3 linked regions of the Pelodiscus sinensis genome follow. The protein of the gene in region 1 purifies or fractionates together with the protein of each later gene. This does not show direct contact. Links are inferred from orthologs where the notes say so. Each region holds a gene or a part of one and is shown in the gene's direction. Other genes may lie near its edges.

Evidence for each region. The genes of interacting proteins can lie anywhere in the genome.
Region 2: the proteins of CDK2 (region 1) and SAMHD1 purify together in Homo sapiens (affinity purification with mass spectrometry; 3 studies listed by BioGRID and IntAct, counting the BioPlex papers as one, with this or other methods). This does not show direct contact. The link is inferred for Pelodiscus sinensis from reciprocal best matches to the Homo sapiens genes CDK2 and SAMHD1.
Region 3: the proteins of CDK2 (region 1) and PRDX6 purify together in Homo sapiens (affinity purification with mass spectrometry; 3 studies listed by BioGRID, with this or other methods). This does not show direct contact. The link is inferred for Pelodiscus sinensis from reciprocal best matches to the Homo sapiens genes CDK2 and PRDX6.

What each region holds. Positions count from the first base shown.
Region 1 is NC_134729.1:4,331,898-4,342,148, reverse strand, and holds the start of CDK2 (cyclin-dependent kinase 2), read left to right. Parts: upstream 1-4,986; 5' UTR 4,987-5,122; coding exon 5,123-5,238; intron 5,239-7,481; coding exon 7,482-7,559; intron 7,560-7,868; coding exon 7,869-7,989; intron 7,990-8,081; coding exon 8,082-8,252; intron 8,253-8,872; coding exon 8,873-8,974; intron 8,975-10,180; coding exon 10,181-10,251. Other genes in the region: melanocyte protein PMEL, read right to left, coding at 229-292. UniProt on the Homo sapiens protein: Serine/threonine-protein kinase involved in the control of the cell cycle; essential for meiosis, but dispensable for mitosis. Phosphorylates CABLES1, CTNNB1, CDK2AP2, ERCC6, NBN, USP37, p53/TP53, NPM1, CDK7, RB1, BRCA2, MYC, NPAT, EZH2.
Region 2 is NC_134728.1:32,935,642-32,946,197, forward strand, and holds the start of SAMHD1 (deoxynucleoside triphosphate triphosphohydrolase SAMHD1), read left to right. Parts: upstream 1-6,042; 5' UTR 6,043-6,088; coding exon 6,089-6,314; intron 6,315-8,319; coding exon 8,320-8,386; intron 8,387-10,556.
Region 3 is NC_134719.1:64,645,197-64,655,392, forward strand, and holds the start of PRDX6 (peroxiredoxin-6), read left to right. Parts: upstream 1-5,682; 5' UTR 5,683-5,750; coding exon 5,751-5,842; intron 5,843-10,196. Other genes in the region: TADA1 (transcriptional adapter 1), read right to left, coding at 659-756, 3,828-3,893, 4,333-4,424, 5,389-5,462. UniProt on the Homo sapiens protein: Thiol-specific peroxidase that catalyzes the reduction of hydrogen peroxide and organic hydroperoxides to water and alcohols, respectively. Can reduce H(2)O(2) and short chain organic, fatty acid, and phospholipid hydroperoxides.

The sequences.
Region 1 (10,251 bases):
TTTAGCATCACTGCATCCAAAATCATCTACCCCCCCCCGAGAAATGTGCCCCCCCCGCAGGCTGATGAGAAGCCCCTGGACTTTAGTGGAGATGCTGGGGGGTTGTTGGCAGCAGCCCCAGTGTTTTGCAACAGGGATTGACCCTGAATTGGCTGGGGGTGGGTCAGATGGGACCCTACAGAACCCAGCCCCCCACCCCCCAAGCCCAAGGATCAGGACCCTACTCACTGTGCTGAGCTGTCGCCGCAGCCAGAAGCGCCCAGGCTGCCACCAAGTACCAGCTTGTCTGCATCTCCCAACCTGCCCCGCGCTCCCTGGGACCCCTCCGCGAAGGCAGAAAGAAGCCAAGCACCCCGGCCACCCTGTATAAGAAGGAGGCCTCATTTGCCTAGCCCCGCCCCTTTCCTGGCATGACCTCATGAAAATCTCATCCCCCCTCCCTCCAGCAGTGGGGTGTGTGGGTGATGGCCAGTCACAAGTTTGTGTTTCGAGCACAATGGGGCCGCATGAGTTGTGCCTTCCAGACAGACCCTGGAATTTCAGTGGGGAAGAACAGAGGCCGGTTTCCGCTCTGAGAAGAAAGGGCCTAATTACCACGGAGCTGCAGGAGGGACGCAGAACCCATGATACGACCTCACTGCTGGGTTGGGGGGCGAAAGGACAAGCCACTTCGATGCTGAGCAAAGCAGGTGCCACTTAGCACTTGGCAGGCCGGAGCTTCTAGCCACCCTCTCCCCAGGCAGGAGACAGGAGAGGTGCAGCACACGGAAAACTGACCAAGGGAGCTCACTGCTGCAAGATACTGAAACCAAGCACTTAGCAGCTGTAAACAAAGAAAGAAGCGGATGGGTATACAGTCCGGTTGTATGTATGATGTTAGCCCGGCTGAGAACAGGGCCCCACTGTACCAGATGCTGTACAAGAGACAGCTGCCACACACACACCCCCAAAAGAGTTTACAATTGAAATAGACCAAGTAGGCACACGAAGGAAACTTTCCATTGACTTCAGCGGGGGTTGGATCAGACCCATAAACCCACAGGGCTCTCAACATGATCCAGTCTCTTGTTCGTAGGGGCAAGGCAGAAATGTCTTTTGTGAGCAGCCAATTCCATAGTTGTCAACTTCCTGCTTTTCCACCTGAAATAGCAGAGACCGGATAGGTAGATTCCTCCACCATAGGTCCTATCCAGTGTTTGCAGGTCACATGTAGCTCCTTGATGGCCCGAGACAGCCTTCCGACAGCAGGAGTGGAGCAAAAAAGCTAACTAGTTTGATCAAATTGGAGATGCCTTCCAGTGGAACATTCTATAACACGAGTGACTTAGACCCGGTGAACATACAGACTTCACCTGATTAATTTAAGGGGTGATTTAAAGCCAGTCCAATTAAACCCATGCAACTTTGTCTGTGGACACTCTTGAAACTGGATTTAAACCCACCTTATAAAGTGTTTCCTTTTTTTTTCTGTTATAGAATCATAGAACACTAGAACTTATGAATTCTGAGTTTCTGTTATCCCTCTCCAGCTCATCTGATGAAGTGGGTTTTGCCCACAAAAGCTAATGAAACTATGTATATTTTGTTAATCTCTAAGGCCATGTCTAGACATTGGCGCTATTTCGGGATACTGGAAGTGTCCCAAAATAGCTATTCTGAGTCTTTAAACGCGCCCGTTATTTCGAAATAACGGTCATGCTATTCTCATTCCACGAGGGTTAAGGGACTTGTCGGAGTAACGCTTTATTTCAAAATTTGGCGATCTGTAGTTGGTGCCAAATTTCAAAATAAGCTATTTTGAAATTACCTCGAAATAAATTATGCCCTTTCAAGGTATGGGTGCAGTGTAGACACACCCTAAGGTGCCACAGGATTATTCATTGTTTTTAATATTAAAGACTAACATGGCTACCCCTCTGCCACCTTCTAGTGGTTTAGCATGTGTCTGTGTTTGTAGATGTGAGCTACGCTGATCGACCGTGTAGTAAATCACTAACTGAGATGCATACGGAGTGGGAGGGGGAGGTGGCTGGTGTTACTAAATCCACTCTCAAACCACTGTATATGAAACCGGTGCAACTCCTGCGTGCTCGGTTAGCTTGTGAATGGGAAGGAAAGACAAGCTGGATTACCTGGCTCTGTGGGGTGCCAGTAGTAGAACAAGGGCATGTAAATCAAGGGACCCCTGATTTTCCAGGTTTTGTTCAGGACAGGCCTGGCTTAGAGCGATTGCTGTGAATCACTACGTTCCAATCAAAATGGCATTGCTCATTGCAACCTGGGGCGATCCAGTAATTGACAAGGGGCTAACGGGACGTTGACTAGCCTATTTTCCTCCCATACAGAGCACCATGAGTAGAGCTGGCAGCACCGCAGGGAGCTGGGGCGTGGCGAATGGCCCCCAAAGGAGGAGTTGGGAACAGTGGCATCAAGCTGTTGTGGGATTTTCTGTGGTTCCCTGAAGCAAGGCACAGGAGACAGCTGCATGAGAGGCACAGCTGCATGTGCTGTCACCCTGTTTGCACAGGAAGCTGCTGCCTGCTCCCACCTCGGTTCAAAGGAACCGGAACTTTGTACCCATCATAAACAGACAAGCCACACTAAGGAGATACCTGACAGCATCACCCATGGCTGCTCCAGACCAGAAACTGACCTGGAAGGCCCCAGAATCTGCTACTGCTCAGCAAAAGGGGCAGCAGAACGAATGCCAAATCCTGTTCTGAAGCCCAGTAAGCTCTTGGCTGTGGCAAGACCATGCAGCAGTGAGTTCCGCACGTTAATTATGTGCGGTGCAAAGGATATTAGTAGCACCGGGGAGGGAATTTGTTTTCTAGATGTATCATTCTCACTCTGTCTGTGTCCCTTAAATAAAAGGAACAAACTGGGAGAGAGAATTCCCAGGAGTTATTGGAATTTAGAAGCCAAACTTCCAATGATTTTAATGGGAGTTAAGTGCCTAAATTCCTTTGCAGATCTGGGCCCATGTGTTCAGGATATTAGCCTGCTAAGAAAGTGATTGCTGCATCGCTTCCCCCCCAAACACTAGACATATCAGCAAAATCCTGTTTAATAAACCCATGTTTCCCTTGTGCCCTTATGTTTACCACTTTTATTAGCCCTTGACAAATTTTGTGCAAAATATGCCTTGTGAGTGATCATCTGAAAATCCATAATTCACTGATCATTATTGTCCTGTTAAAATAGGTGTGGCCACATTGTATGTAAAGTTATAAGATTCCATTGGATGATGTTACTACGGGTGTATTTCCAATCGGGGAAGAAGCACAAATAAATTCTTCAGTAAGTAAAAGGCAAACTGATGCTTCTGCCAGGAGTCAGCAAAACCAACTGGACTGTTCCCTGGTTAGGCAGCCCTTCTTTAGCAAGAAGGGTGCGAACAAGAAATTCACGGCTTGACAGAGGAACAGGCTGGCTGACACTTGAACCCCAGCTGGGGATGATTCTCAAAGAGGAGGAAAATGGGGAACAGAGGCCCCACCCCGATCACATCTTTCTCTTCATCTGTACTGGGGGTTTCAACAATATTTCAAAGACAAAGGAAGTGTCGGTGAACTGGAGAGGGGTCCTGGTGGAAGGAATCCAGCCAGACTGCTGTTAAAATATGGTGACAGAAATCCAGCTGCTCTTAGTTCACCTAACTAAGTAAAGTATTAGTTTGTGTTTTATCATTTATTTCTTTGTAACCAATTCTGACTTTCATGCCTTATTCCTTTGTCATCACTTCAAATCGATCTTCCTGTAGTTAATACGTGGGTTTGATTGTTTACCTAAACCCCTGTGTTTGGACTGAAGTGGTCAGGAATTTCCATTTGAGATAACCAGGGTTCGTGCATAGCTCCATAATGATGGACTTTCTCGGAGCGTGTACTGCACAGAGGGGGAGAGCTGGGCAGGCACCTGGAACTGGTGAACCTGGAACCCTTTGGTGAGGAGACCCTGGGCTCAGGGAAATGAAGAGAGCCCATTCAAACAATAAACCTGCCTCACACCAGCAACCCCCTGGGTGCCCGTTCAGGAGCTGAGCCCCGGCAGGCAGCAAGCGCAGCGTATCACCAAGACACACATGAGCTCATCACTCCGAATAGCACGCAGGCTCACAAAGTGTAGGACAAAACAAGTTCCCCAGGAACTCCGCGGCCTCCCACGGCCGGCTCTTTTGTCTGCCCGATTGAAGTTCCCAGAGCAGGTGCTTCTAGGCCCTGCTCAAGTCAGGAGCATCTCACCAACCAGCGGCACAGCTTTGTCGTGCTGCCCTGCTCAGTACGGCTCTGGCAGGCCAGGCAAGGGGGTCACGTGGCTGGCTGGCTGCTAGGGTTGAAAATCCCACTGCAGAGGAGGCCGTGGGTGCAGAACCTCCAAGGAAGCTTGGAGCCTCCATGCTTTTCAGGAGCTGGCTCATAGTGGTTTCAAAGGAAGCTGAAAGTCCTGGTTCCCAGCGAGGTCCTCAGGGCAGAACCCAGCCCTGGCTTCCTAGGCAGTGTAGAAACAGGGTCCCGAGCCGGGGCACGTGAACTGAAATAATAAAGGAATCGATGGGAATCCAACCCTTGGAGTCCCCTTCATAGAGACCCAGCCAGAGCCTCTGCAGGAGGGACAGGAGAGAGGACAAGTCCCCTGGGAGGGGGGGCACATGGAGTTAAATAATGGGGGAGTCTCCTTAGGGGAGGGGCACAGGGTGCATCCCCCTAGACACAGCTCAGGGGGCTCAAGGAATCCAGCAGGGGAACTGGGGAAATCACCCCAATAATACACGGAGCTGGGAGCAGCCTTTGGCCTGGCTCCCTCACTGACACCCATGGGGGGGTCCTAGGGCTTAGGGGCACCCTGGCTCCGGCCGCCCCTACAAGCGGGGAGGGCTGCTCCTGCCTCCGGGCCTGTCCCTTTAAGGAGACTCCCGCGTCGCCTCCAGCGCGCTCCTCCCCTCCCTCCGGGCGCCAGCCAATGGCGCGGCGGGTGGGGCGGGGCGAGTGGAACGCGGGAAGCAGCCGGGCCGGGGGTTACATTGTAGCCAGTTGGGGGGTGGGCTGGTAACCGCCGGGGGACGCGGAACGCGCTGCCGGGCCCGATCCCCGGCACCCGGGCCCGATCCGGGGCCGGCCCCATGGAGAACTTCCAGAAGGTGGAGAAGATCGGCGAGGGCACCTACGGGGTTGTCTACAAGGCCAAGAACAAAGCCACGGGCGAGGTGGTGGCGCTGAAGAAGATCCGCCTGGATACGTGAGTCCCCCCCCGCGAAGGGGCCGTACCCCCCCCCACCCGTTCATGGGGTAGCTCCAGCTTTGGGGGGAGGAGTCGGCACCTCCCCGGCCGGCTCGGGGCCTTCTGCAGGACACCGCCCCGGGGGAAGTGCGGTGCCCCGGGGCCTGCAGATCTGGCGGAGAAAGCCCCCCCCCCCCCCGGTCCTTGCGGGACGGGCTGTCAGTGGGCACTTGGCTTGAGTCCACGTGCAGCCAAGGTGGGGCGGTCTGAGCACTAGGACTGGGCATGGGCGTTACAAGTAGGGGTGCGGGGCTGCTGCAGCGCTCCCCCCCCCCACTTAAAGTGGTTTCCGTTATATCCAGGCGTTACAGTTGGGGTCAGAGGTTCTCAGCGCCCCCCCCCCCCATAAAACTTGTTCCAGCCCTGCTGGTGTTGGGGGGGGGGCACCCCATACCCTCTCCATGGGAGCGCTGGAGGCTTCCCAGCAATTCCCAGCTCCTGTTCTCCCTGGGCTAAGTCCACCCAGCTGAACCCGTGGGGTGATGGGTGCAGCAGGAATTGCATCCCTCCACCATTTCTACAGCCCCATTTCTGGTGAGTGGGGGAGTTCTGCCCCATACTCTTCACTGGTGCCCTGACAAAGGTCACGGGGCGGGGGGGAGAGACTCAGACCCACACTCCTTAGGCTTTGCCTGTAGCTGTGCTTAACAGCCATTCTCAGAATTAAGTCTGAATCTGGGGCTGGTGTCCACCCTACAAGGGGTGTGGGTCTCTTGGTGAGGTTCGGAGATGCCAGGGGCATGATGAATGGATTGGAAAACCCGCCTTGGAGGGACAGACTCAGGGAGGTCCGAGCGTTTAGCCTCACAAGGAGCAGGGTAAGCAGTCACCGGCCTAGTCAACAGGTTGGACCGCGAGCCAAGTCCAGGCCACCAGGTGTTTCTGAATAGGCCACAAAATCTTTGTCTTTACTTATTCGTTATTTATTGCTGGAAGACTTACCTGGTGCTGCTCAGGTCCTAATTATTGTGCTTGTCCCTCGTCCGGGGCAGATCCAGGTTTGTCTGCCCCCTGCGCCCCCTAGCCAGAGTGAGGAATGCAGCAAATGGTGCATTTTCCCCTTGCTACCTGATGAAGAGGAACAGCCAGCAATGTTCCCGTACGAATTGTGTGGGGGGGGGGAGTTCCCTTCCTAAAGGGTACCTGGGGGGTGGGAGGCGAGAGGCTCAGGGCTGGGGCAGTCCCATGGGGGGCAACCCCTTTCCCCTGCCTGGTGGCTGACTTTTTTGTACGGTTTTCTGAGAAGCAGTCCCATTCCAGACACATCCCATTTCCCTGGCACAACCCCTGACCTGGCTTTAAGTTATGATAAGAGGAAGCTGCCTACTGACCTTGGTGGTCCTAGCTCTCAGCATTTAGGAGGAGTCCTTGAACAGACAGACTCTCAAACTCTCTCAATACATCGCTGTGTGAAAAAGGGTTCCCTGGAGCCTGGGCCTTGACTGCCCTTGGTCTAAGAGCCCCTACCTGGGGAATCAGAATTTGGCCACTGCCTTGTCAGTCTTGCGGACAAAGGTCTAAGAGATGCAGTGGCAGGAAGTTGGAGGTCGAGTTGGTCTGGGAAATAAAGCCCACGTTTGTAACAACGAGGGTCATTCGCCACTGGAACGAGCGCCCAAGGGTTGTGGCAGATGCTCTGTCACTGGCCGTTGTTCGGTCAATGGGGTTGGGCCTGGCTGTATCCCAGGCCAGGGCTGCTCTGCTGCATGTTGCAGCTGGTGCCCTGTCCAGCAGCTGGTGCTCTGGCCCCTGGCGTGAGCACGTCAGTTTCTTTCTGGGAGTGGATGGGCAGCGCTCAGGGCAGTGCCTTTGGAGAGCCCTGGGCTCCCAGGTTCCGACCCAGACAGCTGGTTTGGTCCAGATGTGATTGGGGCAGGAGTCCAAGCAGGGCCTTGTTGGCTCTGGACCGATGTTAAGGATCCCGAGGGGGAGCAGAAGTTGCTTCCCTGTGTCCTAAGCTGCCCCCTCTCTTCGCTGTTGCTTCTACCCCAGAGGTGGCTGAGTTTCCATGGTGGTACATCGGGGTAAAGGGCTTTTGGCTTGTCACTGCTGCCCTCAGTTGGCACTTGTGTGGGCTGCAGGGCAGGTCTGAGCTGGGACAGAGTCGTTAGGCTGCCTGGTGTGAGGTCACTAGAGCGGGGCCGAATGGAGCCCCAGAATGGAGCTTGTCAGGCTCCTCATGGCTTCCCCCCCCACTGCAGAGAGACGGAGGGTGTCCCCAGCACGGCCATCCGGGAGATCTCCCTGCTCAAGGAGCTGAACCACACCAACATCGTCAAGTAAGTGGGGGAGGGCGTGTTATTGACATCTCAGGAGGGTGGCTGGGCTGCTGGGATCCAGAGCCCTCATCCCCCCGGGAGGGGGGGGAGGGAGCACCCAGATCCGTGACTTTCATGTGGCCGTCATCTGTGAGACATGGCTGGTCTTGGCCCGGCTCCCCAGCACGCAAGCTTGTCACGCTGGTGCTGCCCACTTCCATGGTTGGCAGCCCCAGCAGAGGCCGAGAGGGGCATGGGGCACAGAGTGCGAATGCCCCCAGCCCTCTAATCAGGGCAGAAGCCGTGACGTCTTCTCCTTCCTCTCACCAGGCTGCTGGACGTGATCCACACCGAGAACAAGCTCTACCTGGTCTTCGAGTTCCTGCACCAGGACCTGAAGAAATTCATGGACTCGTCCTCCGTCAGCGGCATCCCTCTGCCCCTCATCAAGGTAACCAGCCTGGCCGGCACGCTGCTCACACCCCCTACCCCCGCGAGCCCAGTTCTCCTCTGACCTCCAGCCCTGTCTGCCTCCTGCTGCAGAGTTACCTCTTCCAGCTACTGCAGGGCCTGGCCTTCTGCCACTCCCACCGGGTGCTGCACCGCGACCTCAAGCCCCAGAACCTGCTCATCAATGCCGAGGGAGCCATCAAGCTGGCGGACTTCGGGCTGGCGCGGGCATTCGGCGTGCCAGTGCGGACCTACACCCACGAGGTGCATTGGAGGGCTCCTCTCCCCTCCACCCATCTGCTGGGATCCGGGGGCTAGGCAGTGAGATGGGGGCCACCTCTCTGGGGTAGGTGCCTCTTGATGGGGCGGAGTATCCCTGTCCTCCCTGCACCAGGACCCCCCACTCCTGCTGAGAACGGCTGGCTGATCCCGCCTCCTGCGGCATGTATGTGATGGGACTGGGTGATCATGGCCGGCCCATGCTGGTTCCCCCAGGGCTGAACCTGGCAGCCATGCCACCACAGGGCCTAGGGAGCAGGAGAGATCTGGCTGCTTCCCTTGGGCATGCACCAGGCTCCCAGGTCCAGGACCTCTCGCCCTGCCACTTTGTTCCGGGGTCGGAGTCCTGCCGGGGTTGGAGTGTGTAACGGTTACAGCACAAGGCCGGGAGCTCAGACTCCTGGGTTCTGTTCCCCACTCCCCCAGAAATTCGCTTTCTCCTTGGGTGAGCGGCCTGTCCCGTGCCTTGGTTTCCCCATTTGCCGAATGGGGGTTATGGCGTCTTCCGATTGTGAGTAAAGCCCTCTGGGGTCCGTGGAGCGGAAAGGGGGATCGATGCCCCTGTCACAATTAACAAGGATCTCCCCTTTCCTCCCCTTCACCAGGTGGTGACTCTCTGGTACAGGGCCCCTGAAATCCTGCTCGGCTGCAAGTACTACTCAACGGCTGTGGATATCTGGAGCCTGGGCTGCATCTTTGCCGAGATGGTATGTCCTCCCCCTGTCCCTCCCGTGCACACACGTGGTTCTTCTTGACCTGCAGAAAGGGAGGGACCTGGGGGCCAGGTGCTGCTCCCCCATTGGGTGGAGGAGCCAAACGAGCATGACTCCTATGTTGAGAGCCTGATCCTGCCCCTCCTGACAGCCGTGTGCGTGCTGGTGAGCGACAGGCAACTGTGAGATGGGGGGGGGGTCTTGCTTGATGCTGCTCCCCTCTGTTTGTAGCGCGTCCTGCCACGCGCTGGGGACGGGGGCTGAGTTACGTTCGATCAGGATGAGTTGCACCGTCCTGCCTCTTGCACCCAACCACCGCCGGGCCCCAGGACCCTCGCAGTGGCAGGTCTCGCCTGGTGCGTGGCACGCACGCCTCCCTGCTTCGTCTCCCCTGGGCAGGAGAGGCAGCGTTAAGCTTGCGAACGCAGGACGGGGGCAGATCCTCGCCTGATGGGCTCTGATCAAGGGCCCCCCGCATGCTGCCCGAGCTGCTGATGGTGTCAGATGGGCCTCGCTTCTTCCGCCCGGGGCAGCTCCAGGATGTGCTCGGTGACGCTGCCCCGGCCCCAGAGAGGGGTGCTGACCCGCCGAGCGGGAATCGGGAAATAAAAGGGCTCTGTTGCGTTCTCCGGGGGGTGCCCTGCCTGGTATTTCCCCTGCCCCAGGGGAAGGGGTTGTCACGGCAGCGTTGTCATGTGGAGTGCCTGGGCCGGTGTCTGTGTCATGGGGTGGGCCAGGGGGCAGGCCACCGGAGCCAGCTGGTCTTAACCCTTTGTGCCCAGGCCGTCCCCACCCCCTCTGGGTGGAGGCTGTGCTGCAGCGGGAGAGGGGGATCTGCTGAGGAGCACAAGCTATTGACTCCTCTCTCCCCCCCCACTCCCTTCTGCGCTGAGCCCGGTTACTGGGGTGTGGCCAAAGCTGCCTTGGAAAGCAGCTGCCCTGGATCTGGAGACATCAAGAAACACGGCTCCTCCACTTCCTTGGGGAGTCCGTTGCAGTGGCTAATCACACGGGCTTGGGCGGTTCATCTCCCTGCCCCTGCCAGAGACTGTCCCCAGCCCTCCGATCGCTCCCCGGGGAAGAGAGGAGGGTGGGAGGCGCTGGCCATGCTGCTGTAACGGGAAAGCCCCCCCCTCGCAGCTTAGCGCCCTGGGGGGGCTGTGCCAAGATCTTGTTTGACCCTCCCACCCCGCTCTTCAGATCACCAGGAGAGCCCTGTTCCCCGGAGACTCAGAAATAGACCAGCTCTTCCGCATCTTCCGGACTCTAGG
Region 2 (10,556 bases), on another chromosome or scaffold:
ATTGGGGAAACTATCTTGGTAATGGGTGAGATAGTTCAAATGTTTGTTAAGTCCTTGTTGGAAAGTGTCGAATTTTAACATGAATGACAGTTCAGAGGATTCCCTTTCAAGTGCAGATGTAAAAGGTCTTTGTAGCAGAATGCAGGTGGTTAAGTCATTGAGAGAGTGTCCTTTCTGGTTAAAATGGCAAGAAACTGTTTTCTCTTTGTGATCTTGTCTGATATCTGTTTTGTGGGCATTGATCCTTTGGCGAAGTGTCTGAGATGTTTGTCCAATGTACATAGCAGACGGACACTTTCAGCACATGATAGCATAGATTATATTTCTGGATGCGCAGGAATATGTGTTCTTGATCTTATAACTCACTTGGTTAGGTCCAATAATGGTATCAGCAGAATGAATATGTGGACAAAGCTGGCAACGGGGTTTGTTGCAAGGGAAAGTACCAGGGTTGGTATTAGTGTGGTATGTCCTGTGGTGGTTGGTAAGAATCATCTTGAGGTTAGGTGGTTGTCTATAGGAGACTATGGGTCTGTCTCCCAGAGCCTCTTGGAGTATGGTATCCTGTTCCAGTATAGGCTGTAGTTGGGGGGTCAGTGACTGAGGTATTGGTTGGGGTGTCGGTGATGGGGTGTCGGTAGGGGGGTCAGTGACTGAGGTATTGGTTGGGGTGTCGGTGACGGGGTGTCGGTTGGGGGGTCAGTGACTGAGGTATTGGTTGGGGTGTCGGTGACGGGGGTGTCGGTTGGGGGGTCAGTGACTGAGGTATTGGTTGGGGTGTCGGTGACGGGGTGTCGGTTGGGGGGGTCAGTGACTGAGGTATTGGTTGGGGTGTCGGTGACGGGGTGTCGGTTGGGGGGTCAGTGACTGAGGTATTGGTTGGGGTGTCGGTGACGGGGGTGTCGGTTGGGGGGGGTCAGTGACTGAGGTATTGGTTGGGGTGTCGGTGACGGGGTGTCGGTTGGGGGGGTCAGTGACTGAGGTATTGGTTGGGGTGTCGGTGACGGGGTGTCGGTTGGGGGGGTCAGTGACTGAGATATTGGTTGGGGTGTCGGTGACGGGGTGTCGGTTGGGGGGGTCAGTGACTGATGTATTGGTTGGGGTGTCGGTGACGGGGTATCGGTTGGGGGGGTCAGTGACTGAGGTATTGGTGGGGTGTCGGTGACGGGGTGTCGGTTGGGGGGGGTCAGTGACTGAGGTATTGGTTGGGGTGTCGGTGACGGGGTGTCGGTAGGGGGGTCAGTGACTGAGGTATTGGTGGGGTGTCGGTGACGGGGTGTCGGTTGGGGGGGTCAGTGACTGAGGTATTGGTTGGGGTGTCGGTGACGGGGTGTCGGTTGGGGGGTCAGTGACTGAGGTATTGGTTGGGGTGTCGGTGACGGGGGTGTCGGTTGGGGGGGCAGTGACTGAGGTATTGGTTGGGGTGTCGGTGACGGGGGTGTCGGTTGGGGGGGTCAGTGACTGAGGTATTGGTTGGGGTGTCGGTGACGGGGTGTCGGTTGGGGGGGTCAGTGACTGAGGTATTGGTTGGGGTGTCGGTGACGGGGTGTCGGTTGGGGGGGTCAGTGACTGAGATATTGGTTGGGGTGTCGGTGACGGGGTGTCGGTTGGGGGGGTCAGTGACTGATGTATTGGTTGGGGTGTCGGTGACGGGGTATCGGTTGGGGGGGTCAGTGACTGAGGTATTGGTGGGGTGTCGGTGACGGGGTGTCGGTTGGGGGGGGTCAGTGACTGAAGTATTGGTTGGGGTGTCGGTGACGGGGTGTCGGTAGGGGGGTCAGTGACTGAGGTATTGGTGGGGTGTCGGTGACGGGGTGTCGGTTGGGGGGGTCAGTGACTGAGGTATTGGTTGGGGTGTCGGTGACGGGGTGTCGGTTGGGGGGTCAGTGACTGAGGTATTGGTTGGGGTGTCGGTGACGGGGTGTCGGTTGGGGGGGGCAGTGACTGAGGTATTGGTTGGGGTGTCGGTGACGGGGTGTCGGTAGGGGGGTCAGTGACTGAGGTATTGGTTGGGGTGTCGGTGAGGGGGTGTCGGTTGGGGGGTGTCAGTGACTGAGGTATTGGTTGGGGTGTCGGTGACGGGGTGTCGGTAGGGGGGTCAGTGACTGAGGTATTGGTTGGGGTGTCGGTGACGGGGTGTCGGTTGGGGGGGGTCAGTGACTGAGGTATTGGTTGGGGATTCGGTGACGGGGTGTCGGTAGGGGGGTCAGTGACTGAGGTATTGGTGGGGTGTCGGTGACGGGGTGTCGGTAGGGGGGTCAGTGACTGAGGTATTGGTTGGGGTGTCGGTGACGGGGGTGTCGGTTGGGGGGGTCAGTGACTGAGGTATTGGTTGGGGTGTCGGTGACGGGGTGTCGGTTGGGGGGTCAGTGACTGAGGTATTGGTTGGGGTGTCGGTGACGGGGGTGTCGGTTGGGGGGGCAGTGACTGAGGTATTGGTTGGGGTGTCGGTGACGGGGTGTCAGTTGGGGGGGTCAGTGACTGAGGTATTGGTTGGGGTGTCGGTGACGGGGTGTCGGTTGGGGGGGGCAGTGACTGAGGTATTGGTTGGGGTGTCGGTGACGGGGGTGTCGGTAGGGGGGTCAGTGACTGAGGTATTGGTTGGGGTGTCGGTGACGGGGTGTCGGTAGGGGGGTCAGTGACTGAGGTATTGCTTGGGGTGTCGGTGAGGGGGTGTCGGTTGGGGGGGGTCAGTGACTGAGGTATTGGTTGGAGTGTCGGTGACGGGGTGTCGGTTGGGGGGGTCAGTGACTGAGGTATTGGTTGGGGTGTCGGTGACGGGGTGTCGGTTGGGGGGGGTCAGTGACTGAGGTATTGGTTGGGGTGTCGGTGACGGGGTGTCGGTTGGGGGGTCAGTGACTGAGGTATTGGTTGGGGTGTCGGTGACGGGGTGTCGGTTGGGGGGGCAGTGACTGAGGTATTGGTTGGGATGTCGGTGACGGGGTGTCGGTTGGGGGGGTCAGTGACTGAGGTATTGGTTGGGGTGTCGGTGACGGGGTGTCGGTTGGGGGGGTCAGTGACTGAGGTATTGGTTGGGGTGTCGGTGACGGGGTGTCGGTTGGGGGGTCCGTGACTGAGGTATTGGTTGGCGTGTCGGTGACGGGGTGTCGGTTGGGGGGTCAGTGACTGAGGTATTGGTTGGGGTGTCGGTGACGGGGGTGTCGGTGGGGGGGGCAGTGACTGAGGTATTGGTTGGGGTGTCGGTGACGGGGTGTCGGTTGGGGGGTCAGTGACTGAGGTATTGGTTGGGGTGTCGGTGACGGGGTGTCGGTTGGGGGGGGCAGTGACTGAGGTATTGGTTGGGGTGTCGGTGACGGGGTGTCGGTTGGGGGGGGCAGTGACTGAGGTATTGGTTGGGGTGTCGGTGACGGGGGTGTCGGTAGGGGGGTCAGTGACTGAGGTATTGGTTGGGGTGTCGGTGACGGGGTGTCGGTTGGGGGGGTCAGTGACTGAGGTATTGGTTGGAGTGTCGGTGACGGGGTGTCGGTTGGGGGGGGTCAGTGACTGAGGTATTGGTTGGGGTGTCGGTGACGGGGTGTCGGTTGGGGGGGCAGTGACTGAGGTATTGGTTGGGATGTCGGTGACGGGGTGTCGGTTGGGGGGGTCAGTGACTGAGGTATTGGTTGGGGTGTCGGTGACGGGGTGTCGGTTGGGGGGGTCAGTGACTGAGGTATTGGTTGGGGTGTCGGTGACGGGGTGTCAGTTGGGGGGTCAGTGACTGAGGTATTGGTTGGGGTGTCGGTGACGGGGTGTCGGTTGGGGGTCCGTGACTGAGGTATTGGTTGGCGTGTCGGTGACGGGGTGTCGGTTGGGGGGTCAGTGACTGAGGTATTGGTTGGGGTGTCGGTGACGGGGGTGTCGGTGGGGGGGGCAGTGACTGAGGTATTGGTTGGGGTGTCGGTGACGGGGTGTCGGTTGGGGGGTCAGTGACTGAGGTATTGGTTGGGGTGTCGGTGACGGGGTGTCGGTTGGGGGGGTCAGTGACTGAGGTATTGGTTGGGGTGTCGGTTGGGGGGTCAGTGACTGAGGTATTGGTTGGGGTGTCGGTGACGGGGTGTCGGTTGGGGGGTCAGTGACTGAGGTATTGGTTGGGGTGTCGGTGACGGGGTGTCGGTTGGGGGGTCAGTGACTGAGGTATTGGTTGGGGTGTCGGTGACGGGGTGTCGGTTGGGGGGTCAGTGACTGAGGTATTGGTTGGGGTGTCGGTTGGGGGGGTCAGTGACTGAGGTATTGGTTGGGTGTCGGTGACGGGGTGTCGGTAGGGGGGTCAGTGACTGAGGTATTGGTTGGGGTGTCGGTGACGGGGTGTCGGTTGGGGGGGTCAGTGACTGAGGTATTGGTTGGGGTGTCGGTGACGGGGTGTCGGTTGGGGGGGTCAGTGACTGAGGTATTGGTTGGGGTGTCGGTGACGGGGTGTCAGTTGGGGGGTCAGTGACTGAGGTATTGGTTGGGGTGTCGGTGACGGGGTGTCGGTTGGGGGGTCCGTGACTGAGGTATTGGTTGGCGTGTCGGTGACGGGGTGTCGGTTGGGGGGTCAGTGACTGAGGTATTGGTTGGGGTGTCGGTGACGGGGGTGTCGGTGGGGGGGGCAGTGACTGAGGTATTGGTTGGGGTGTCGGTGACGGGGTGTCGGTTGGGGGGTCAGTGACTGAGGTATTGGTTGGGGTGTCGGTGACGGGGTGTCGGTTGGGGGGGGCAGTGACTGAGGTATTGGTTGGGGTGTCGGTGACGGGGTGTCGGTTGGGGGGGGCAGTGACTGAGGTATTGGTTGGGGTGTCGGTGACGGGGGTGTCGGTAGGGGGGTCAGTGACTGAGGTATTGGTTGGGGTGTCGGTGACGGGGTGTCGGTTGGGGGGGTCAGTGACTGAGGTATTGGTTGGAGTGTCGGTGACGGGGTGTCGGTTGGGGGGGGTCAGTGACTGAGGTATTGGTTGGGGTGTCGGTGACGGGGTGTCGGTTGGGGGGTCAGTGACTGAGGTATTGGTTGGGGTGTCGGTGACGGGGTGTCGGTTGGGGGGGCAGTGACTGAGGTATTGGTTGGGATGTCGGTGACGGGGTGTCGGTTGGGGGGGTCAGTGACTGAGGTATTGGTTGGGGTGTCGGTGACGGGGTGTCGGTTGGGGGGGTCAGTGACTGAGGTATTGGTTGGGGTGTCGGTGACGGGGTGTCAGTTGGGGGGTCAGTGACTGAGGTATTGGTTGGGGTGTCGGTGACGGGGTGTCGGTTGGGGGTCCGTGACTGAGGTATTGGTTGGCGTGTCGGTGACGGGGTGTCGGTTGGGGGGTCAGTGACTGAGGTATTGGTTGGGGTGTCGGTGACGGGGGTGTCGGTGGGGGGGGCAGTGACTGAGGTATTGGTTGGGGTGTCGGTGACGGGGTGTCGGTTGGGGGGTCAGTGACTGAGGTATTGGTTGGGGTGTCGGTGACGGGGTGTCGGTTGGGGGGGTCAGTGACTGAGGTATTGGTTGGGGTGTCGGTTGGGGGGTCAGTGACTGAGGTATTGGTTGGGGTGTCGGTGACGGGGTGTCGGTTGGGGGGTCAGTGACTGAGGTATTGGTTGGGGTGTCGGTGACGGGGTGTCGGTTGGGGGGTCAGTGACTGAGGTATTGGTTGGGGTGTCGGTGACGGGGTGTCGGTTGGGGGGTCAGTGACTGAGGTATTGGTTGGGGTGTCGGTGACGGGGTGTCGGTTGGGGGGTCAGTGACTGAGGTATTGGTTGGGGTGTCGGTTGGGGGGGTCAGTGACTGAGGTATTGGTTGGGTGTCGGTGACGGGGTGTCGGTTGGGGGGGTCAGTGACTGAGGTATTGGTTGGGGTGTCGGTGACGGGGTGTCGGTTGGGGGGTCAGTGACTGAGGTATTGGTTGGGGTGTCGGTGACGGGGTGTCGGTTGGGGGGGGGGAGTCAGTGACTTTCCCGCCTTCCGAAGGCAGCGGCGGCTCCGGCCGCCTTGCCCCGCCCCCGCGCTGAGACAGGCGGAAGCCGCGGCCACTGAGCGGGGCGGGTGTGGGCGGAGCCAGCGGGGCCCGCCCCCGGCCGGCCTGGTGGGCACGAGCGAGCGCGCCTGCGCGGCGGCGGTGGAGCCGGGTCGATGCTGAGCCGGAGCCAGAGCGAGGCCGGGGCGGGCGGCGTCGCCAAGCGGGCGCGGCCCGGCAGCCCCCCCGATGGGCTCCGCACCCCCGAGAAGCGGGCCCCGGCCTGGGCCCCCCCCGCGCTCCCGCCCGGGCCCCCCCCGCGCCGCTGGGACACCGAGCAGGTCTGCGACTTCCTCTGCCGCAGCGGCTTCGGCGAGCCCGGCCTGCTGCGCCGCGTGCGAGGTACCGGGGTCTGCGAGCCGGGGCGAGCTCCTCCGGGGGGGCTGCCCGCCCCGCCGCCGCGCTGGGGGGAGGAGCCGCGGGCGAGCGCCGGGCTGGGCTCTGCGCCCCCCCCCCCCCGGGCATGCCGCCTGCTCCCCCCCCGGCTCCCTGCTCCCTCCGGGCATGCCCCGGCTCCCTGCGGCCCCCCCCGGCTCCCTGCAGCCCCCCCCCCGGGCATGCCGCCTGCTCCCCCCCGGCTCCCTGCGGCCCCCCCCGGCTCCCTGCAGCCCCCCCCCCGGGCATGCCGCCTCCTCCCCGGCTCCCTGCGCCTCCCCCCCCCCCGGGCATGCCGCCTGCTCCCCCCCCGGCTCCCTGCGGCCCCCCCCGGCTCCCTGCAGCCCCCCCCCCGGGCATGCCGCCTCCTCCCCGGCTCCCTGCGCCTCCCCCCCCCCCCCCCGGGCATGCCGCCTCCTCCCCGGCTCCCTGCGCCTCCCCCCCCCCCCCCCGGGCATGCCGCCTGCTCCCCCCCGGCTCCCTGCAGCCCCCTCCTCCGGGCATGCCGCCTGCTCCCCCCCCCCCCGTCCTGCAGAGGCAGCGGCTTCCCGGGGCAGGGGAGCCCATAGCATGGGTCAGGGGGACTCTTGTGCAGTTCGGATCCGCACTGGCGTGCAGCCGGGGGCACTAGACTTGCCACTGGCCCGGGCCGAGTCCGCACCCCGCCGTTGGAAGGCGCAGGAGCGCTCTGGAGTATGAACGGGGGAGTGCGGAAGTGCCCGTGACTAGTGGGTGGACGTGCCATTGACCGCTCAACTAGTCAATTAACATCCTGAGTCTGCAGAGCTCCCGCTCACCCGCTTCATTTCCTTTGCCTCCTCAGGATCTAATTCCTCTCCAAGAAACATGTTGCATTAAAACAGGGGTGTCCAAACTTTTTTCAAAGAGGGCCAGATTTGATGAAGTAAACATGCGTGAGGGCCGACCATTTTGCCTGACATTCTTTGAACCATTAAAATTAAACACAAATTAACTATCTTATGCAAAGTTTATTGCAAACAGTATACTTTTCATTTCGTCACATGGATGACAAATCTTAACAGGTGTTAAATCACTCTGCCTTTCATATCTGAAGGCCAGATGGGAAAAAAATCCAAGAAGCTGAAATGTCAGGAACATTGTAAAGTACATTACATATTATTGGTAATAAAGGTTGTCTGTCAACTTTGAAGTTAAAAAAAATATGAACAGGAACATAACACCAAGTATACATGTTGTGTCCAAATAGATTTATAACTGATTTAGACCAACTGACATTAACTGAGATTTTACAATGTATTCATCTCAATACATATGGATTCGTTGGGGGCCGTAAAAGATAGATATTGCCAAATTACCTGTGGGGCCATATTAAACCGGAACACAGGCCGCAATTGGCCCGCGGGCCGGACTTTGGACATGCCTGCATTAAAACAACCAATATACAATGAGTGGTTGGGGGGGCAGTTGAGGAAAGGTGATAGTTAATTACATATTTTTGGAAAGCAAAAACAATATATGTACAGGGTGTTTTTTGTTTGCCCACTTAAATCAGTAGTGGGCAAAGTATGGCCTGTTGAACCCTTCAATCTGCCCCCCAAGCTCCTCTAGGCAGGCTGGGTCAGAGCTGCCTTGGAAGGAGGTGCCAAACCGACTATTGGGCAGTGCAGCAAGCTTGTGGGGGCTTATGCCTTCCCTTCTGCCACCCATCCCTCAAAGCCTCAGCTCCCCTAGTGCCTGGGCCGCATGGTTGCCACTCCACCAGCCCTGATGGTCTGGGTGGCATGGCTGCAGTTCTGGACATCTGTAGTGCTCCGGGTGGTGCAGTCACATGGTGGGAAGGAGGGGAGGTTGGATAAGGGTCTAAAATTGAAGTAAGCTAAAATGAAGTGGTAAAGATAACAGTGCTAAAATACTTCTATATGAAATATTTCAGCAACTTAAATACGTAGGGGAAAGCCTAGACATAAAAGTTATTCCTTTCACTCCTCAGAAAATCAGATAACCGGAGCAGTGTTGCCTTACCTCACTAAATCTGAACTTAAAGACTTAGGAGTTGGGTAAGAACAACTTTTACTAAATTTTTTAGAGTGGTTCCTGTGTGAGAAATTTTGGTGATTTAGTAACTTGGGACTTGCTGTTTCTTCAAGTGTCCAAGGCTTTGCCTATGTCTTAAATAAAAACAAGTCGTGAATGTGGTGGTATAAAGCAATGTTTCTCAACCTTTTTTTTTTTTTTTTTTTTTTTTTTTATAAAGTACCCCTTTTAAAAAAAAAAATTTGTAAGTACCCCCCAGTACCTACAGGTTTTCAGACACACAATTTTTTTCTACTATTGCAACACATTTGTTTAAACAGCTTAATCGTAGCCAGGCGGGCAATTACTTTTTTGGGTATAAAAAGTACAAAAATAATAAAGCACTGTAAAACTTAAAACAAAAATTCAGTTTTGTCCAAGTTACAGTTGTGTTGATGTAGCCCCCCCCCAGACTTCTCTCAAGTACCCCTAAGGGGTACTCGTACCACTGGTTGAGAAACATGGGTATAAAGGATCTGTTGGTACTGACCTTCACTGAAACTAACCAAACTTTAATAATACATCTTGGGAAAGACAAGTCGTCATCACTTGATTGACTGCAAATGTTGTCCTTGATTTCTGTGGCATGATATTTTAGTATGTTGTCTTTGTTAGCTCACCTCTTTTTTGCTATTGTGTAATTTCAGCTATTCATGTCAAGGCTGACAACCTGTTATAAGTGAAACACCTTGATATGTTTGGAGAGATGTGTGAAAGGGTGTATTTTGTAAAAAACGACTTGATCAAAAATAGGAGCTGTAATTATTTGAAAAGAGATATATAAGCCAGTTGTTTAAACAGAGCTAAAAACTGAGGATTAGGGATGTAAAATCCAGTTTAACTGGTTAACGGGTTAAATGTATTGTTTAATCAGGTCCCTGATTAAAGGGGAGGTGGGCAGGGGGTGCCGCTCCAGCCAGTTTGGGCTATAGCAAACCCCCGTGTCTCATGCAGGGGCTGCCCCTGATGGCAGAATATGTAACTTTCCGAACTATTAGAAAAGAGATGTCAAAACCATTTACAGGGAAGAGAGGTTAACTAAGCACAAGGGAGGTAACTAGAGCATAATTTGGATTGTTAATCTGTAGTTGCATATATATTATCAAGAGTTGTGGATGCTGGTGTATTTCACGTGTATGGTTCAGTGCAGAGGTGCTGCCCTGGAGAATTGGATTCTATTCCTGAACTGCCACACAGTCCCTGTGTGATGCTAATCAGTTCAGTTTAACTTTTACAGGTGGTCACGCTGCACTCATTTTCTGTGGACTGTAATTTTCAGGTTTTTTCCTTGCTCAGTTCATGGCTCCAGGCTTTATTTACTGTGTACTCTTAAATCTTAGTCTCAAGATGGAATTATTAACTTCCCAATGGGCTTTTCTCTGGTGCTTATCTCTACATTATCTGCCTTATGCGCAAATACTGATTTTCACAACACACTTCTGAGGTGAAGAGTTGGTCTTATAGAGATGGGGGCAGAGAAATTAAAGTCAAAACTGTCCACTAATTTTGAGTGTCGAACTTGAGATACTTAAGACCTGATTTTTCAGAGAACTAGGAATTAGTATGTTCAACGCTTAACTCTCAGTGACTGCAGTTTCAGTTGTGCTCAGCACTTACGCAAATCACACCCACAGGTCTAGGAATAAATGGTCAGCATTCAGAATGGAGACAAGTAAATGGCTGTGTCTGTCCGGGGTCTGTTCTGGGACCAGTCCTGTTCGACATGTTTATTCATCAGTGATCTTGAAAAAGGGGTACACAGTGAGATGGCAAAACTTGCAGTTGATATAAAACTACTCATGATAGTTGAGGCCCTGGCAGACTGTGAAACGCTACAAAAGGATCTTTCAAAGCTAGGTGACTGGGCAAGAAAATGGAAGATGAAATTGAATGTTGATAAATTCAGTATAAAGTACATGGGAAAGTACAATCCCAACTGTACATTTGGGATGTGAACGGGTAATGGATGAACTGGTACTGGGGAAGTTAAAATGTTTGTTTGTGTGAAAATTTCAGCAGTTACACATTTACATGCAGGGAGGAGCTGCCCCTTGCCCCCCCACTCCTTCGCTGCTGCCTTTGTATCAAAGGAAGCTGCACGGGGGGGGGGGGTGAGGGCAAGTGGGAGCCAGTACACGCAAGGATATATCTATC
Region 3 (10,196 bases), on another chromosome or scaffold:
TTTGAGGAGTGGGATCCCAGGAAGCTGGGCCCAATATTGCACTCTCCTTGAACCTGAAGAGGTTCAGTGTCTGTGCTGCTTCTCAGTGGGGCAGGGATCTCAGCTCGGGCCTTGGCTGGGGGAGACCAGGGAGCTGGCCCAGCAGGACCGGGTGGTGAGGAGAGCAGGAAGGCGAGCGGCAGTGGCCGAGTCAGCACCCCGGGAGGTTTTCTGTGACCTCACCTTATCAGAGTTTTTTTTTTTTTAATAAACAAAGCAAGTTTTAAGTCCACCCCCAAACATACGCATTTCTCCATTAATCAGATTCACACCCTCACTTAGCACAGAAAAAAAAATCCACTGAGAAGCAGCTGGTAGCGTCTCAGCCAAAACTGGGGGAAGAGGAAGAAATATTGTCTGAATCGCTAGAGCAATTTTTACCCATTATTCTACTTCCATAGGGTAGCCCAGCCAGCCTCACTCACACAGCAAGTCACTCTGGGTAACTCGATCATGTGGAACAGCGACCTTCGCTCACTTTAGTACTTACCGCTTTACTGCAAAAGGCTCTGCTGGAACGAAGTGTCTCGGCCAAGCCGCTAACACGCACACAGGCTGCCAGCTCTTCCTACCTGGAGCAGTTAGCAGCGCCAAGACCCTTTGCGGAATAAAAACTTACATCAAACTTCTGCCGAACTGAAGAAAACTTCTTCTTTCCTTTGGGCTTTCCAGGTTTAGTCGCAGAGCCCCCTGTCCATGGCAGAGGCCCAGGGCCCTCTGAAAATAGGAGAGAAGGGGAAGTGTGTGTGGGGCGGGGGGAGGTCACTCCAATTTGGAGTCAATATAATTAAGTTCATGCAACTCAAAAATCAGACGAAACCACACAGTTCTGACACCTCTGAAGAGCACGTCCACCCTTTCCAACTGGAATGCACGTACCCTTTCTACTATACACTCTCACCTACTACCACCATGTAGCTGAGCAATATTCTATTACTTCAGAGGGAAGTTATCTGAACTATACTGTGCTTTTTTCGCAGACAGCTACACCAGTTGAAGAGGGAGTGGAAGCCAGACCCAAGGTGTCAAGTGGGCTGAAGAAAGAAGAGCAGACATACTGACAGCCTTGGGGATTGGAAGCAGGCACCTTCTTTGGAAAACCCCCTCTCTGAACAGACAACACCCGAGAGAAGCAGCACAAAGGGACCAATGGACACAGACCCAGATTTTGAATCTGGGATATATTTGCATAAAAGAAGGAAGCTGCTATAAAAGTGAGGTGTCTTGCAGAGGGCCCCGGGTTTCGTCTTGTCACCATCGGAGCATTGATCCGGATCGGCAGAAGCCCGGCTCCACCCCTCCCCCATCTAACTCACCTGGCCAGTGAAGTTAAGGGGAGCAACTTGTTGGTAACAAGAGCAAGACGGAGTGTGCTTGTGTGTGTGTGTGTGTGCGCGCGCGCACGCATGAGTGACATATCTCATATGCATATGATAAGTATTGATTATTCTACGTGAGATCAATAAATGTGGCGTGTTGCCTTATCCCTCTGAAAACGATCCCGAGTACTTCTTTTAAGTACAAATTGTACCGTCTGTATGTTGTATCGACTACACGATGAGTTGATAGGGAAGGTGCTCCTGCTGCGGCTCTGCAGTTTAAATGTAAGAGCTGGGCTGCCTGCCCGCCCCTTACTATATTTCAACTGCAGAGCAGTGGTGGGGGTAGGTCCCGGACCCAGTATGAACCGGGACTGGGTCGGGCTTGCTTAGTCCTGGCTTGCACTGGGTCCAGTAGCCCATGTCCACAGCAGCGGCGCAATAGAGGCAGCAGCGGCAAGGGGGGGGCCAGCTGGCACTGCGGAGACGGTACTGGGGGGGAACAGGGGGAACCAATCCATTGTGGAGCTAGCCAGTTTCTAGCCTTGTGAGCAAAGGCAACAAGTGGAGAAAGAGGAAAGCGCTGCTTCTCTCCAGGCTTGTGAGATTTCCCAGCGCACATTCTACATCAGCAAGAGTAGAAAGGGAAAGACAGGTATTATGAGAGATGAGCCTTCAAGGATGCGTTTCAGAAAAGAACCCACCCGTACTAAATGCTTATTTCTTTGCTTTTCAGTATTTTAGTCTCTTGGCCAGAAGACAGACACAGGGTTAGGAGAATCTCTGAGCATCATCTTCCGTTTTCCATTGTTGCTTTATTCCTTTCTCCACCCCCCCTCACCCTCTTTCTTTGGAGACAAATGGAACATGGTCAGACTGGCCCTTGAATCAAAACAGATTACCAACTCGGATATAATTCATAGTGTGAGGTGTAGACGAATACAGGTCCAAGGCTTTGTCAGCCCAAGAGCACTGAAAAAGAACTTGGTCTCTATAAAAGGTGGGATTAGTGAAACACTTCAGGAGGCAGCCCCTCAGAATGGGAAAGCAAAAAGGCAGCTAACTTTTCTGAAGTCTCCCCGGGAACAAAAACACTGAAACAAGCAATTTCCACAAGCTTAGTACTCTCAGGTGTCTAACACAAACCTCCCCTGAAATCACCAACATGAAACCCAACGTGAGCGGCTCTAGTGTGATTTTTATTGAAAAGAGACTTTGTGTGATGCCTTGTCTGACGAGGACTTCACAGAACCCATTGCTGTAAGATCCAAGTGCTCCCGACTTTTTATGGATTTATCCTCACTTCACTCCTGGGAGGTGACATTATAATTGTTCTCAGCAGGAGGTGCTGAGTGCTCCAAGCCCTTACTGAAAATCTGGCCAGACATTTAGGTGTCTGACCAGGAGCCAAGCTCCCCGACCGCCAGAGCTGTGCCGCTCCTGGGAATGGAACCAGAACAGCCCAATCCCAGGCACTGCCGTGACCCGTTGGAAAGGATGGTCAGTCTGCCGTACACGCTGTCCAGATTTATTCAGAGGTTTGGTTACAAAACAAATCACATGCAGTGTATTTGCTGCAGCCAACCCAATGCAAAAAAAAAAATCAAGTGAGAAGCAGCAAAGGTTACATGGACAGATTTTGGTACCTGATTAGCCAGGTTACAGTGTACTATACAGTCAGCATAAATGATACAGCTGGCTCCGCACAAGACCCTAACATACTAGTCCCTGAACCTCATAGCAGTCTCAAATTCATGCTCTAATTCGCAGTTTGAAACACTCTCTCTTAAGAGGCCTTCTGGCTAATTTTCTGGCCCAGCCTTCCAAGATACATTCTGATATCAGCAACACTGAAACTCGCAAGACACCACAAACAGGTGCAGCACCACACATAATGTGATAGCAGCTGCAAGGGCTTACCAGAAGAATGTTCAAGTCACTGGCGACATTTTAATTAAAAACTTCACAACCAACTGCTTCCCACCCTCCCCTCTATTCTGAAGGCAAGACAGGAGGAAAAAAAATGTCTCTAAGTGCTGCCTCCCTCCCTGGCTCAGTTCCCATTGGTCTGACACAAGGCCCGGTTTCTTTTAGAGCCTGCCGCCATTCTCACAGATCGCTGGAGAACATGGAGCAAAACCTCAGCCCTACAGAGCACCGTGCCTTGTCGAACTCACAGCCAAAGCAACAGGAGACAAGAAATCAAACCTGGGTCCCCTTCTTGGAATTGCAGGGCACTAGTCTGTAGTTAAGCGTGTGAAATGCTCGTTTTGTAACGAAGATGATCATATTTATTCCACAGTCGTAACTAAAAGCGGCAATCAGGGTTCTCAGTGTCATACGGCACGCAAGCCATAGCAAGGGAGAGCATGCAATTTGAGAGCACATAAGTCACAGCATATAGCTTAAAAACAAAGCCCACCACAAACGCGTCCCAAAGGTATGCCATATGATCTTTTGTTCACTTACCTGGTGCAGAAACCAAGATTTGGCACCGGGTGAGAATGGCCAGGAGGAAATCATTGTGAGAATGGACTGTGAAAAGAAAGACCATTGACTCACAGAGATACCAGGAGAGAAAATGGTATTTGAAGACTGAGACTCACATTAGCAAAATGGCAGACACAATCCAAAAGCAGCTACTTAAAGCTACCCCATCAAGTGATTGTGTTTACACTTCCCACAACCATGTTTTCCCATTTGTTCCCCTGGTTGAGGACACCCCCAGTTAATTTATTAGACAAACTTTTTTGCCTCTATATGAAATTAGGAGCCATAAAGGGAAGATTCTCATCTCAACAGTAGCTATGTGGCCCAAGAGGCAGTATGTTCCAGAGGAGCAGACGGAGTTGTGGAGTCACACTTCACGTGGCTGCATTGTTCTGTAGCAAACAGCGACTAACCCAGAATTTGGTATTCTGGGGAAATCTGAGATGCAGAGAAAAAGGAGCTCTCCCAGGGGACTGTCTCTTACCATTGTCTTGGGTGAGGAGTCTGCGAGCTTCCAGATCAAACTCTTCTTTACTGATCTTTTGCTTGAACCAAAGTTTCAAGTTTGCCCAGTATCTGTGCATAGGAGAGAAAACATTATGCCCCGTAAAGAACACTGTTTTGCCTACTAAAGCTATTTCTTGCTTCCCATTTCTTAAATGGACAGTCATGTAGTTCAAGTCCAACATGTAGCTTTTTTTTATATATTTCAGAAAAATCTAATATGAAGCAGTGTTTTAATATAACGTCCGTTCCTCCCTAGTTCCCACCCAGCCGTAAATGCCAAAAAACAGTTAACTTCCAATAGCAGCTAGTGCCAGATGTTTCAAAGGGAACAAAGCAGAAAAATTTTCAAGTAAATCATCCCCCATCTTCCAGCCCTGACTGTTGGCAGTCAGAAGTTTATGGACACCCAGATGACCTTGGCTAATAGCCACGGATAAATGGATCCTCCAGGAACTTCTGTGGTTTCTTATGAACCCTGTTAAAATGTTGGCCTTCACAACATTCCCTGGCAACGAGCCTCACCAGCTGTCTATGCACTGTGTGAAGTCCTGCTCCCTGATGGCTGTTTTCAACCTAGTGCCCATTAATTGCACTGGGTGATCTGTACTGCTTGCGTTCCAGAAAGCAGTAACTGAACTCCCCAGTCGATTTCTCCATCACTCATGATTTGCGAGACCTCTGCACATCTTGAGACGGACCCTGCGGGCCGGGATTTGCCACCCGCCCCGGGGGGGGGGGGCGCGAGGCCGGTGTCACGGTGCGCACGTGCGAGCCCGGGGGGAGCCCGTTACCCACCCCCCGAGCATGACGGGTCCGCCGCCGCTCGGCTCCCGCGCGCTGCCCCCAGGCCGGGCCGAGGCGGGAGACGAGCCGGGGGGGCAGAGGGGGGACAGGCCCGCGGGCCGGGGGGCGCAGGCCCGCGGGCCGGGGGGTCAGGGGGGGCAGGCCCGCGGGCCGGGGGGCGCAGACCCGCGGGCCGGAGGGCGCAGGGGGGGGCAGGCCCGCGGGCCGGGGGGGGCCGGGCCACACTCACTGCTTCACGTTCTCGCCCAGCGCCTCGCTCAGGTTCTTCTTGGCCGCCTCCAGCTCGCTCACGTAGGTCGCCATGGCTCCCTCCGCGCCGCTCTGCGTCAACGGGTGCGCGTGCGTGCCGCGTCACTTCCGCCGCCTGCGTAGTCCTGGGTTTCGCAGCGCCCGGCCGCGCCGCTTCTTCCGGTCACGTGGTGTCCCGCCGTCGCTGGGCTGGGGGTGGGGATCACGCGTTGCCCTGCTCGTTGAACGGACCCGTCTGCCCCGCCCCCGTCTCCCGATTGGCCAGGCCGAGCCCCGCCCCCGGCCTGGCCCCGCCCCGAGGCGCTGTGTGAGGCGCAGCCCGCGCGCTCCCCAGACGCCGCCATGCCCGGGCTGCTGCTGGGAGACCTGGCCCCCGACTTCGAGGCGGACACCACGCACGGGCGCGTGCGCTTCCACGAGTTCCTGGGCGGCTCGTGAGTGCGGCGGGGGGGGGGGGGTCTGGTCTCTCACAGCGCCCACAGGGTTACCGGGCGGGGGGGTCGGTCTGTGCGGGGGGGGGGGTCTGGTCTCTCACAGGGTTACCGGGCGGGGGGGTCGGTCTGTGCGGGGGGGGGGGGTCTGGTCTCTCACAGCGCCCACAGGGTTACCGGGCGGGGGGGTCGGTCTGTGCGGGGGGGGTCTGGTCTCTCACAGGGTTACCGAGCCGGGGGGGTCGGTCTGTGCGGGGGGGGTCTGGTCTCTCACAGCGCCCACGGGGTTACCGGGCGGGGGGGTCGGTCTGTGCGGGGGGGGTCTGGTCTCTCACAGCGCCCACAGGGTTACCGGGCGGGGGGGGTCGGTCTGTGCGGGGGGGGGGGGGTCTGGTCTCTCACAGCGCCCACGGGGTTACCGGGCGGGGGGGTCGGTCTGTGCGGGGGGGGGGGGTCTGGTCTCTCACAGCGCCCACAGGGTTACCGGGCGGGGGGGTCGGTCTGTGCGGGGGGGGGTCTGGTCTCTCACAGCGCCCACAGGGTTACCGGGCGGGGGGGTCGGTCTGTGCGGGGGGGGGGGGTCTGGTCTCTCACAGCGCCCACAGGGTTACCGGGCGGGGGGGTCGGTCTGTGCGGGGGGGGGTCTGGTCTCTCACAGCGCCCACAGGGTTACCGGGCGGGGGGGTTGGTCTGTGCGGGGGGGGGGGTCTGGTCTCTCACAGCGCCCACGGGGTTACCGGGCGGGGGGGTCGGTCTGTGCGGGGGGGGGGGGCTGGTCTCTCACAGCGCCCATGGGGTTACCGGGCGGGGGGGTCGGTCTGTGCGGGGGGGGGTCTGGTCTCTCACAGCGCCCATGGGGTTACCGAGCCGGGGGGGTCGGTCTGTGCGGGGGGGGTCTGGTCTCTCACAGCGCCCACGGGGTTACCGGGCGGGGGGGGGGGTCTGGTCTCAGCACCCACAGGGTTACCGGGCGGGGGGGGGGGGGGGTCGGTCTGTGCGGGGGGGGGGGTCTGGTCTCTCACAGCACCCACAGGGTTACCGAGCCGGGGGGGTCGGTCTGTGCGGGGGGGGTCTGGTCTCTCACAGCGCCCACGGGGTTACCGGGCGGGGGGGGGGTCTGGTCTCAGCACCCACAGGGTTACCGGGCGGGGGGGGGGGGGGGTCGGTCTGTGCGGGGGGGGGGTCTGGTCTCTCACAGCGCCCACAGGGTTACCGGGCGGGGGGGGGGTCGGTCTGTGCGGGGGGGGGTCTGGTCTCTCACAGCGCCCATGGGGTTACCGAGCCGGGGGGGTCGGTCTGTGCGGGGGGGGTCTGGTCTCTCACAGCGCCCATGGGGTTACCGAGCCGGGGGGGTCGGTCTGTGCGGGGGGGGTCTGGTCTCTCACAGCGCCCATGGGGTTACCGAGCCGGGGGGGTCGGTCTGTGCGGGGGGGGTCTGGTCTCTCACAGCGCCCATGGGGTTACCGGGCGGGGGGGTTGGTCTGTGCGGGGGGGGGGGGGGTCTGGTCTCAGCGCCCACGGGGTTACCGGGCGGGGGGGGGGGGGTCGGTCTCTCACAGCGCCCACAGGGTTACCGGGCCAGGTTGGGCTGCGGGACTGGGAGGGGAGGGACGCGCTGGCGGGGTGCCCCCTGCGTGGGGGGCAGGGCCGTGGCTGACTGCGGGGTAGCTGGGGCCCGACTTTGCCCCAGCGCGGACACACCGCTTTCTACCTGCCTCCGGGAAGACGGGGAGCCCCACCTGCGGCCCCGCTACCGAGGGGAGGTGGGCGGGTGGGGAGGGCTCTGGGTACCGGACACTTAACCATGGAAGAACCATATTACTGATTCAACACCCCCCAGCCGTGCCTGTTCTCTGCCTCTTCCTCCCTGCCCCGGCCTTGTCTGCACCCAAAGGGCCACGCCTGCAGGTGGGCTATGGAAGCCCGGTCCTCACTCAGGCTATTGCCACTGGGACCCTCAGCACCAGCCCAAAGCCCACACAGCCCGCGCCCAGTTCTGCTCTTGTGGAGACCAGCCTTGCTCTGAGTCAGAGGTCTCCTTCCCACTAGCACCCGGGGCCTGGCAGGTCACTCTTTCTGCACAGCCTGTTCCTTGTGTTTGTGGGGTAGGTAAATTTGTCACATCGCATATGAGTCCGGTTCTTCTCAGTCACTGTTACACTGACCATGCTGGGGCGGGGAGGAGGTTTCCGTGCTTGACTTGGACTTTCTCCAAAGCTCAACTGGCCAGAGGGCTGATGCCTCAGGCTTGAGAGAAGTTTACAAGCGTCTCCTGATGAGCAACCCTTCCAAAACACAGTCTACCGAGAGATCGGGGTGGGCAGGGAAGCGTGGTGGTGTCTCTGGGGGTTGTGCTCAGCCCAGCTAATTTGCACCACTGCAGCCCATGCTGGCAGCTGCACTGCAATTTCAGTTTGCAGTGCAAGGATGTATGTGTGTCAGGAATCACAGCTCTAGCTTGTAATGTAGACACAGGCCTAGTGACCTAATTTTATTAGTATCCGAGGGGTAGCTGTGTTAGTCTGAATCTGCAAAAGCAACAAGGAGTCCTGTGGCACCTTAGAGACTAACAGATGAATTGTAGCACAAGCTTTCATGGGCAAAGACCCACTTCATCAGATGCATCTGAGGAAGTGGGTCTTTGCCCACGAAAGCTTATGCTCCATTTCATCTGTTAGTCTATAAGGTGCCACAGGACTCCTCGTCGCTAATTTTATTAGGGATGAGAAGGGTTAACTGGTGGGCTGGAGCAACTGCCCGTTGGGGGAGGGGTCTGCATTAACCCTGCCGTGCCCACCCCCATTTAATTGGTTAAGCAGGATTTACACCCCTAAATTCTACTACACACAAAAACATTTGGAATTGTCATTACTCAAAGGAAGGAGTCGTCTCCCTTACCTGTTCATGTTGAAAGTCACACAGGAGTGAGTTATCGATTGTTTCCTCTTAGGCAAAGAGGTTATCTGTGGTGAAAACAAGACCCAAATAAGAACTTTCCCAAGTATGTGTAAGAACACAAGGAAACACATCACGTTTACCCCCCAAAAAGGAGGCACAGTGGCTTGGGAATAAATAGGTGTTGAACTGGCAAGAAATGGTGTTCTGCCCACAAGCCCCGCGGTAGGCACCAGGAGTGAAATGCCCCTTTCCAATAGGATTGTGCTCCTTTTTCACACTGCTCCATCTGTGGAGAAATACTTAACAATGCCGGTCTCTTGTAAATGTTGGCCTTCACCCTTAAACGCATGCATGTCTTCCTCGCTGATTTCAGGCACTTGTCTTTGAAGAGAAGTTGCATCACTATTTCAGGGGCGCTCAAACTTTGTGATACTGCAACCCCCTCCCCCCCCCAAGTTGCTCGCAACCCCCTGGGGATTGGGACCCATGGTTTGAGAAACGTGGCTCTAATTAAACTAGTGCAACCCCCCCCCTTCTTCCCCTCCTCCCCCCAAATAAGAACACTTAAATAGACTTTGGCTTGGATAATTCAGCATATTGCAACTTTGGGGTCTAGCGAAGCTCTGGAGCACAGGTTACTCTATCAGCTCACATTACATTCATAGTCATTTTAATCCTGGGGATAAGCAAAGCTTTTGTTCGGACAGACGCCAGAAAAATGTGACCCCCCCCCCCTCCCCCTCAAACTGTGACATGCTGCACCTGTCCAGTTTAAAACATTCTGAATAAGCTACCCTCTGACGTAACAGACTGAAGGCAGCCGTTCCCAAAGAAGAGGGAGTGTTTGGCCCTCCAGCCAGACTCTGCCACTTGAGACCCCAAAAGAGCAGCCAGTTCCTCCTTTCACAACTACACTGTTAACGACTTACATGCTTCCGCACGTCCCTAGAGCCCACATTGCCGGAACACCCAGCACCCGCCCTGAACTCGTATCTGAGGATAGCACTTTCTAGCCTCAGCCAGCCAGTGTGGGGTGTGTCATTTCTGGCCCTGTGTAAGCAGGCTCTAAGGTTTCATGTTGAATTGCAGGGTTTTGTTATTCAATATGAGATTAGACTGTGGCTCTTGATAACAAAGCTGCCCTTTTATACGCCCTTTCGCCAAGGGGAAGTAGAAAGACTGTTCACTTTCAGACTCTGCAGGGAGGCGCCTTAGCCCCCCAAGTAACGTGACTGGGACTCTGCCGTGGCAGTGGGTTCCAGTGCCCTTTGTCCAGTGTCTGTTCATCTGCCAGGCTAGTAACCGTCATGTGAAATGCGTTTTACAGGAGAGGGGATGACACAGCAGTTCTGGGCAAGATGTGGGAAGGTGGCAGTTTGCCCAGATCAGCTGGTGGTATCAACATAAGGAGCTCCGGGGCTGGAGGCAGTGCGTGTGCCTGGTGTCAGGTGGTCTGGGC